Neurospora crassa OR74A: one gene and its partner. The protein of the gene in region 1 interacts with the protein of each later gene in a pairwise test. Links are inferred from orthologs where the notes say so. Each region holds a gene or a part of one and is shown on either strand. Other genes may lie near its edges.

Evidence for each region.
Region 2: the proteins of NCU08888 (region 1) and NCU05095 interact in binary tests that used the Saccharomyces cerevisiae proteins (3 or more experiments, as listed by UniProt). The link is inferred for Neurospora crassa OR74A from reciprocal best matches to the Saccharomyces cerevisiae genes FRS1 and FRS2.

What each region holds. Positions count from the first base shown.
Region 1 is NC_026505.1:759,612-763,935, reverse strand, and holds NCU08888 (phenylalanyl-tRNA synthetase subunit beta), read right to left. Parts: upstream 2,881-4,324; 5' UTR 2,611-2,880; coding exon 2,558-2,610; intron 2,443-2,557; coding exon 1,425-2,442; intron 1,363-1,424; coding exon 607-1,362; 3' UTR 437-606; downstream 1-436. Other genes in the region: NCU08889 (hypothetical protein), read right to left, coding at 4,041-4,324.
Region 2 is NC_026506.1:3,753,939-3,758,258, forward strand, and holds NCU05095 (phenylalanyl-tRNA synthetase subunit alpha), read right to left. Parts: upstream 2,924-4,320; 5' UTR 2,751-2,923; coding exon 1,427-2,750; intron 1,363-1,426; coding exon 1,284-1,362; intron 1,210-1,283; coding exon 1,059-1,209; 3' UTR 668-1,058; downstream 1-667.

The DNA of each region.
Region 1 (4,324 bases):
CCAAACATTGTTGCCGAACGAAATGCCAACCCAGGCTGGAGGAGTGCGAAAGCGATAGATCTTGGATGGCCTCAGGCAACGAGAAGATCCTTAGGGACCGGTGCCACGGCCGTGGTGGTTTACGGTCCCGTCGAAAAGTTAAATGAGCATGGCCAGGAAGACTTAAGTGTAGAGTCCATTAATATTGAACAAGGAGAATGAAAGAGGGTCGAGTTGTCGATGATGGTGGGTTGGAAGTCTATCTATCTGCCGCTTGGCAAGACGTCCTGAAGACAAGACGACGGGAAGTTATTCGCCCTGGAATACCTACCTATCTCTATGTTAAGTGTACATCGATGACTCCCCCCGGGTAGAACACGGGACGTGGTCCAGATACATCATCCATCACAGGGGGGCTGAACTTACCCAAGAACTTTGTCCATCGTATGGATGTTGGCCGACACAACGATACAGAGGAAAACTTAACGGAGAGGGCGGATCTGAACAAACAAACAGCTGAAAATCTTCTCTATTCTCCACAAGTACATGTAACCTTTTTCACTCTTTTTTTCTTGTCATCATCATCCTCGTAGATCAACCCTTTCGTTTCCCCCTCCTTTCACTCACTCAAAGGAAAACCTCCAGATTAACCTCCAACACACTAACCGGGTATCTCAAGTCAAACTTCTCCAGCACAGTCGGATGCAGCACACCAAACTCGCCAATCCTCCTGGTCTCGCCTCCCAAGCGCAGATAGATGGCCGCCGCCCTCCCCTGGAAGAAGGTGGGCTCGTCAATCTCCTTGATGAAATACCCGTTGCCCTTCTCCTCGCTCGGGTTTTCCGCAACCTTGTAGTCGATGCTCTTGCCATGGAGGTCCTCCTCATGCGTGACGAAGCTGACGCGCAGCATGGACAGGATCCTGTCCAGCAGGCCGTGGACCACTTCGAAACCCGAAGTCTTGCCGTAGAAAGCCGCGGCGAAGTGACGTTCGTTGCGCGCCTTGCGCTCCTTGGTCTCGTCCTTCAAGGCGATATCGGCCACCTCGGTGATCTTGAGCGGCAAACGTACCGACTTGTTCTCGCGCAGGGTCTTCAGCAGACCAGGCAAAAGGGAGGTGCGCACGACTTGGTATTCGACCGACTTGGGGTTGGCGAGCTTGACGGCGGTCTGGCCGTCGTCAACACGATTGAGCCACTCAAAGTTCTCCTCGTGCGAGCAGAGGATCAAGGGCATGACTTCGATCCAGCCGGCCATGGCGCATTCGTTGCGCACAATGTCGGACACCTTGTTGATCATGAGCGGCTTGCCGATGGTGGAGGCCTGGTTGGGGGAGGTGCGGGGGAGGTTGTTGTAGCCGTAAGCGATGGCGACGTCTTCCATCTGTAACAAACGAGTTAGGTACTGTAACAAATTTCAAGGAAGTAATTTGGGGGTGTACATACCACATCGCAGGCGTGCAACACATCGGCACGGGTAGGAGGCACAGAAACCTTGATGAGCTTGGCGTCCTCCTTATCGGGGACAGCAGTGTACGCCATCTTGCCGAGCAGCTTGCACAGCGACTCGGGCGACTCTTGAAGGCCGCAGCACTGGTTGAGGTAATCGACCTCGACGTCCATGACACGGGTGTGCAGGCTGGGGGTGACGCGGGTGGTGCCGTTGTGCTCGGACACGATCTTGACGGGCTCGATGGTGAAGGGCTCGTCGCAGTACTTGGAGAACATGGCGACCATGATGTTGCAGACAATGTCGAGCTTGGTCTGGTCGGTGGCGGTGATCTCGATGAAGACGTTCTTGGTGTCGAGCGTGATCTTGGAGTGGTCGCTGTTGATGATGGGCGGCAGCGAGCAGACGGTCTTGTTGGCGTCGAAGATGACGGGGTAGACGGGCTTGTCGCGGATGATGTGCAGGTAGCGGCCGAGGTGCTTGTCGGACTCGTAGAACTCCATCAGCTCTTGGCCGTTCATCTTCTTGGTCTGGTTGAGGGGGACAAAGTTGATGTCCTTGGGGGCGAGGGCCTCGTAGGTGAAGGGGCCCTGGATGGTGTCGAGATCGTGGGTGCCGATAGAGACGAGGGTTCTTTGCCTGGCCAGGTTCTGGTGAAGCTTGTCTTGCAGGCCGATGAAGGACTCGTATCTCTCCGGGGTGAACTTGAGGTTGCGCAGGATGGCGCCGGCGACGTAGGGGCGGACCTTTTCGGTCTCGGGGCTGACGGTGATCTTCTGCATCTTGTCCTCGGGGATGTCGAGCAACTTGAAGTTGGGGGTGGTCTGCTTGCCGCGGAAGATGTTCAGGTACATGGCGATGCCCTCGAAGCAGAGCATGTCGTAGCGGTTGGCGGGAATCTCGATGGCCAGCTCGGGGGCCTGGTCCTTGGGGCGCGTCTCATCCTCCTCGGTGTCCTTGTCGAGCTCGATACCGAACTCGAAGCAGAGCTGTTGGAAGGTGTCGGGAGTGAACCTGTGGTGGTTGGCGCAAAGCGTGTAAGTGATTTGTGTCCGTCCATAGAAGTAGTCAAAACACCATGGCGGGGTAACCGTGATAATTCAAAAAAGACCACCACAGGGAAACTTACTGCTCGCCAAGCTCCTCAAAGAGGCGATACTTGTCAACGTTAATGGTAGGCATGTTGGGCTGATTGGGGGAGTCGTCGGCGGTCGAGTCTTGGAAGAGGACTGGCGCAAGACGGAGACGGAGACGGAGACGGAGACGGAGGACGGGGAACTCCTCTGATCAATCAATCCACTTGGAACTTTTCCGAGACACCTGGGGCTATGTACTTACTGCAACGGCGGCGCCCGATTCGACTCAGTAGCGGCCGGACCGCGCGCCCCCAGTCGGGTCCCCCGTTCCCGGCAATGGATGACTCAAAATCCACGGCGGCAACGCTTCTGCCATTTGCCGCCGCCTGCTTGTTTCGGGAGCGATTGGGTCAACCCCACCACCCCCGCCAGAATTGTTACAGATACACCAACGCATAAACCCTAACCCTCTCTTCGTCCCATCTCTCCATCATCCCATCTTCCTCTTCCTCTTGTTGACACTCACCTTCATCTTTATTTCAGATCCCGTAAGCCAATCAGTAGGTTTTGTTTTGTGGTAAGGCACATTTCAAAGAGAATCCAGATGACTTTCGTCCCTGCCATCAAATCAAGTCTGAGGGACATATCCAACAGCGGTATTCGAGTTGTGCAGTATCAATAGCCCCGGTCACTTAGCTCGATATAATCACACATCTCGACACAAGGATGAACGGGAGTGGTCTTTTATATTTTATTCGTTCCCTTCCATTACCTCCAATTCCCCTCTGCACTCCCCGGAAGTGACACCCCCTTCCTCCCATCTTACTGCTTCATAGCTCATACATCATAATCTACACATATTCCCCGCAAGTCTGCCCGCGTGTGTGTGCGTGCGCCTCTTAGACAGTTGCCATTGTTGGCTGCGTTCCCTCCCTCCTGGTACATAACATGGTAGGCACTCAAGCGGCCGGATAAACAGGGACAAAACAGCAGATAACCACCCAATGTAAAGAAAACCTGTACAAGAGACACTGTATGACATGACGTGACACGACATGACCAATAAAGACAAAGGATGATGATGGGGAATGGTATACGCAAAAAGGGGTATTCAAGCTGACAAGAAAAACAGAAAATCCGACCCGAGGCTGCGCAGCAGCATTTCCAAAAAAAAAAAAAAAAAAAAAAAAAAAAAAGTGTTGAACGCTGACCTTCATCCAGAAAAGAAGAGAGAAAACATGACTGTGGTGAGTGTACATGGTGGTATGTAAGACCTGCCTGGCATATCGGCGATGGTATAAGCAAAACAAAAAGGGAGCCTCCAAAAGCAGTAGCGGCAAAGAGATTTCAAATGATCAACCCAGGAGGACAGAGAAAAGCAACAACTACAGCAAGCCGGACGAAACTTTCCAGAAGTGACCAGCCGTTGTCCAACAAGCACACGCATACACACACTCACACGAACCACGTTAGCTATGCGGCCCAAGGCGTTGAAGCCCATGCCTCTCGACTTACTCCGTCCCCGGAGTCAAAACATCAACGCATTTGCTGCGCCATAAAAGTCTTCGCCAACTCATCCCCTCCACTCTCTGCTGCTCCCATCCAGTGGATAGCCAAGCACATCAATGCCGGGTCGCTCCTGACATCGCCCATTCCCATTCCTGCAAATCTGGCGCTCTCATCCGAACTGCTTCCACCGGCACCTGATCTTCCACCACCGCCACCGTACTTGTCAATAACAGCTTGCTTGAATACCTCCCGGGGCTTGCTCAGCGGCAGAGTGGTCCGCTCGACCAGCTCAGGGTTGGACAAGTAAAAAA
Region 2 (4,320 bases), on another chromosome or scaffold:
TTGCGCTTGCTGTTGTCCGTGCGTTTTCTCAGTTTTGTTCTCGGTGGAGGTCGTGCGCATTGATGATCGCTCAAGCCGCAGTCGCAACACAAAGACTCAGTAGCTAGTAGGCATTGAGGATGTAAAAACTTATGCCATCTTCATGCGCAAAATAGGGGTGTTTGTTTACTTTGACCATTTGCAACCTGCTTTGAGGTGCTTACAAGTTGAGCCCAGGAGGGAACGAAACCAAACCGAACCAAGCTGAACCGAGCCGGTCCGGTCCGGTCCGGTCCTGCTGATTCGGGCTCGGCGTGGGATTGGAATTGGGATTGGATTGCAACAGACTTGTTGAACTTGGATCTAGCAGTAGATGGATAGATAGATAGGTAGACACATAGTAACAGTAGTGTATAAGGTGGTAGGTCTAGAACGTGACGTCGAGACTTCGGTTGTTTGATTGAGTCCTTGAAAAGCTGGTGGGGCGAGGTGAAGCTGAGAAAGGCTGTTGTAGTGTACTGGTAGAGCCAGGCTCGCCGAGGGTACAAAAGCTGGTTCATTGAGTTGCGCTGATACATAGCACATGTAATACCCGGAAAAGTGTCCCCTTCTTTTTTTTAGAGGCGAGACAGGTTGCTAGGAGTTTTGAGGCTCTGGGGAGAAGGGGAAGGAAGGGGGGTTTTGCGAGGGGAACTAACCGAATGAGATGGGATTAAGAGGGATGGAGATGGGCTCGTTCGATGGCTGTCAATGCAATTCGGTAATTGACTTTGGTGTTGTCTTTGGTGTTGCTCAGAAGTCAGAGTTGGGACCTCCATCACCTTCTGCGTGTCCCAAGTGCCCCAACGGGTCAAATACCAGACTCCTAGTGCAAACTGCAAACTCCATAGTTTACCCGGCTACATCATCAAGGCCACAACATTAACAACGACATCACTTCTCCTTACTCCCCGCGAACCCAAAGATCCCAACCCTGAACATCAAACTCCATTTTATATTCGGTATCATCGTCTAGTAGGTACGCTTTCTTTCATTCATTACTTTTTTTTTGTTTTCGTTTTCGTCTTGGACCACATCTACTACTCCTGGCCAAGCAAAACAGCCGGGCTACCCTGGACAAACTCCAAATCCACCTTGTGACCCAGCAGCTCGCGAATGTTGGAGATGCCGTACTTGATCATGGTGGGGCGCTCGAGGGAGAGACCCCAGCCGAAGACGCGCATGTCCTTGCTGTGGGGGGTGTTAGTATGAGCTTGCGAGGATATGGAAAGTGAGAGGAACGAGAGAAGGGGAGATAAACGTACGGAAGACCCATAGACTCCAGCATTTCGGCGCGGAACATGCCGCTGTTTCCAATCTCGACGAGCTTGCCGAGGCCCTTGTCTGTTTTTGTGTATGTTTGTCAGCGTTTCGGTTTCTTCAACGACGGCGACATGGCGGCACTCACGGTAAGCGAAAATCTCCATTGAAGGCTCGGTATAAGGGTTGTAAGCGGGCTTGAACTGCAAATCATGCAGACCCATCTTGCCGAAGAAGATCTCCATGAACTCCATCAGACCACCGAGGGTCAGGCCATAGTCGGCAATGACACCCTCGACCTGGTGGAACTCGGCCAAATGTGTGGCATCGACGGTCTCGTTACGGAAGACACGATCGATGGAGAAGTAGCGGGCCGGGAGAGGCCTGCCGTCGGGGCCCTTGGTGGCGGCCAGCTTGTGCAGCATGTTTGCGCTGATGGCGGTGGTGTGTGTGCGCAGGACGAGGCGGAGCGACTCGTCGCCGGACCAGGGGTAGCGGTAGCCGATGGAGCCGTACTTGCCGTCCTGATGCACGGCCTTGACGTTGTCCCAGTAGGCCTGGTAGTCTTTTGTGTCGTCGGGCGAGTCGGCGCGCGGGAAGTCGGCGGCCTTGGGGTCGGAGATGTAGAAGGTGTCTTGGAGATCGCGGGCGGGGTGCTGCTGGGGCACGAAGAGGGCGTCGAAGTTCCAGAAGCCGGACTCGACGAACTTGTCGGTGGGCATCTCCTCGAAGCCCATCTCGAAGAAGATGTTGCGCAGCTCCTGGCGCACCTTGTTGAGCGGGTGCAGGGCGCCGCCGTTCTGGGTGGCGCCGAGGGCCTTGAAGTTGTAGGGCTTGAAGGTGGCCGTCTTCCAGGCGCCCGAGGCGATCATGTCGGCGGTCAGGTCGGTGGCCTCCTCGGGGATCCTGAGGGCGAACTTGGGGCCCTTGTGGATCTTGAAGGAGAAGATGTTTTGGGTGCGGATGAGCTTGCGCTTCTTGAGGTCGGCGAGGATCTTGGGGTCGGGGTGTGTCTTGGTCTGCTGGACCGTCTTGATCTGCTCCTGGGTGGTGTCGTTGATCTTGTCGGCGACGGCCGTGAACTTGCCGTCCTTGGTCTTGCTGATCCACTTCTCCTTGAAGGCCTTGCCCTGGCCGATCTTGACCACGTTCTTGTCGCCGATGGCCTCCTCCAGCTCCTTGACGGACAGGCCCTCGACAGCCTTGCGCAGGGCCTCGAAGACGCGGGCCTCGTGGGAGCCATTGGCGGCGATCTGTTCGGCTTCGGGTTCGAGGAGGGCTTCCTGGCGCTCGATGGTGTCGTATTTTACCATCTCGCGCGACGCCAGCCTGTCGAGGGCGGCCTTGAGGTCGACGAAGGTGGCGTTGGGGAAGGCATCGCTGGAGAGGAGGGGCTGCGACTTGTCGAGGGCAGCGAGGATGTCGGTCGCGAGGTCCTCGGAGGACGCGGTGGTGTTTGTTGGGGGCGCCATTATGTGTGGTTGTGTGTGTGTGTGTGTATGGGATCAAAACTGAAGCAACGGACTCGATCGGAGCGGCAAGCGGATCTTGGGGGGGCTTGGAGCTGACGGTTCAGTGGTCAAACTCCGGGGGTGTGCGGCGCCGTACTGGAGTCTCCGTCTGGCACAGGCATGGTGGGGCTTTGACTCACAATTTCCCAAATTCCAGACGCGGGCCGGCCCCGCGAATCGGACATGTGGGCCCCATCAATCCGTGAGTGCCCGTGTGCTTGGTTGGCCAATGACAGCCGGCGGAAAATCTTGGAGGCCGCAGAGTTAGCCATACACAACCCTAACCCGTGGTGGTGGTCTTGACCCCGCGCCATCTCCCTGAGGTGTCTCGTTGAACAAGGCATGTCATTGTCTCCCGTTTCCCGTCTCCCGTCTCCCCGCAGCTTCACCATTGCATCTCACCGCCAGCACTGCCGTTCTGAATGAAGGACTGATGCGAGGCTTCAACAATGTCCAATTGACTGGCTCATTGTCGATCCATCATCAATTATTATCTTTCATCTTTTTCTCTTCAACGCCCATATTGTATTGTTCCTCTGATCTCGTCCCGTTTGGCCTACCCGGTAGTTGGTTACCCGGCAGTTCTGGAGCTCTGACCCCGGACTGGTCATGTTGGTGCAGTGCCACCATCCCCGTCTGCTTGCCGCTCATCTTTTGCGCCCATCATTGCGCATTCCTCAATCAGCATATCAACGGGAAATTCGTTCATTCCAAATGTTGGTACAAGAGGCGACAGCTTGACGGATGTATCTCCAATCAGCGCGCTGTGTTGTCTTGGTTGTTGGCCAGCGCAACGCATGTCGGCTGGGCTCTTGAGCGCCAGTTCCGTGCAGTCCTTTCAACAAACGGCAGCTTTGGCTGCCCGGCTAGCTCAATCGGTAGAGCGTGAGACTCTTAATCTCAAGGTTGTGGGTTCGACCCCCACGTCGGGCTCAATTCCCGGCGTTCAAACACGCCTTTCTTTTTGCATTTTTTTTCTTTCTATGTCAACGTTGTGACCGCTGTCATTCATATCGTGGATTTTTTTTCTTTTTTTTTTTTTTTTTTTTTTTTTTTTTTTTTTTTTCATATAATGAAACTCCACCAATTAATGGCTTCAGGTCACTGTCAGGATTGCCGCTTGGTCCAAGCGTCAAGCGATGCTATTCCCACTGACACGAATATCAAGGACTGACTTTCCGTTCTTCGTTCCCTGTCGATGGCCTTCTTCCCCAGCCTGAGTGAGCATGGTGATGATTATTGGATATTGATGTCTGACAGGAGCCTCCCGCCTTGAAGTTCCCTCGACGTAGTATTTAAACCTGGACTGGCCATCCATTCTTCCTTTCTTCAACTAAGATGCCAGTCAAGCATTTCCCACGTCCTTATTCTCGACTCTTCAACATTCTCCTCACCAACTTGCCCCCATATGCCAAAACTTTGACAATGTTAATTGGCCGCGGCTAAACCAACACGATCGCCATTTACTGTCACCTGGCATGCCATAGATGGTGGCTTTGACGCGACCAACCAGGCCCTGAGGATCAGTCGC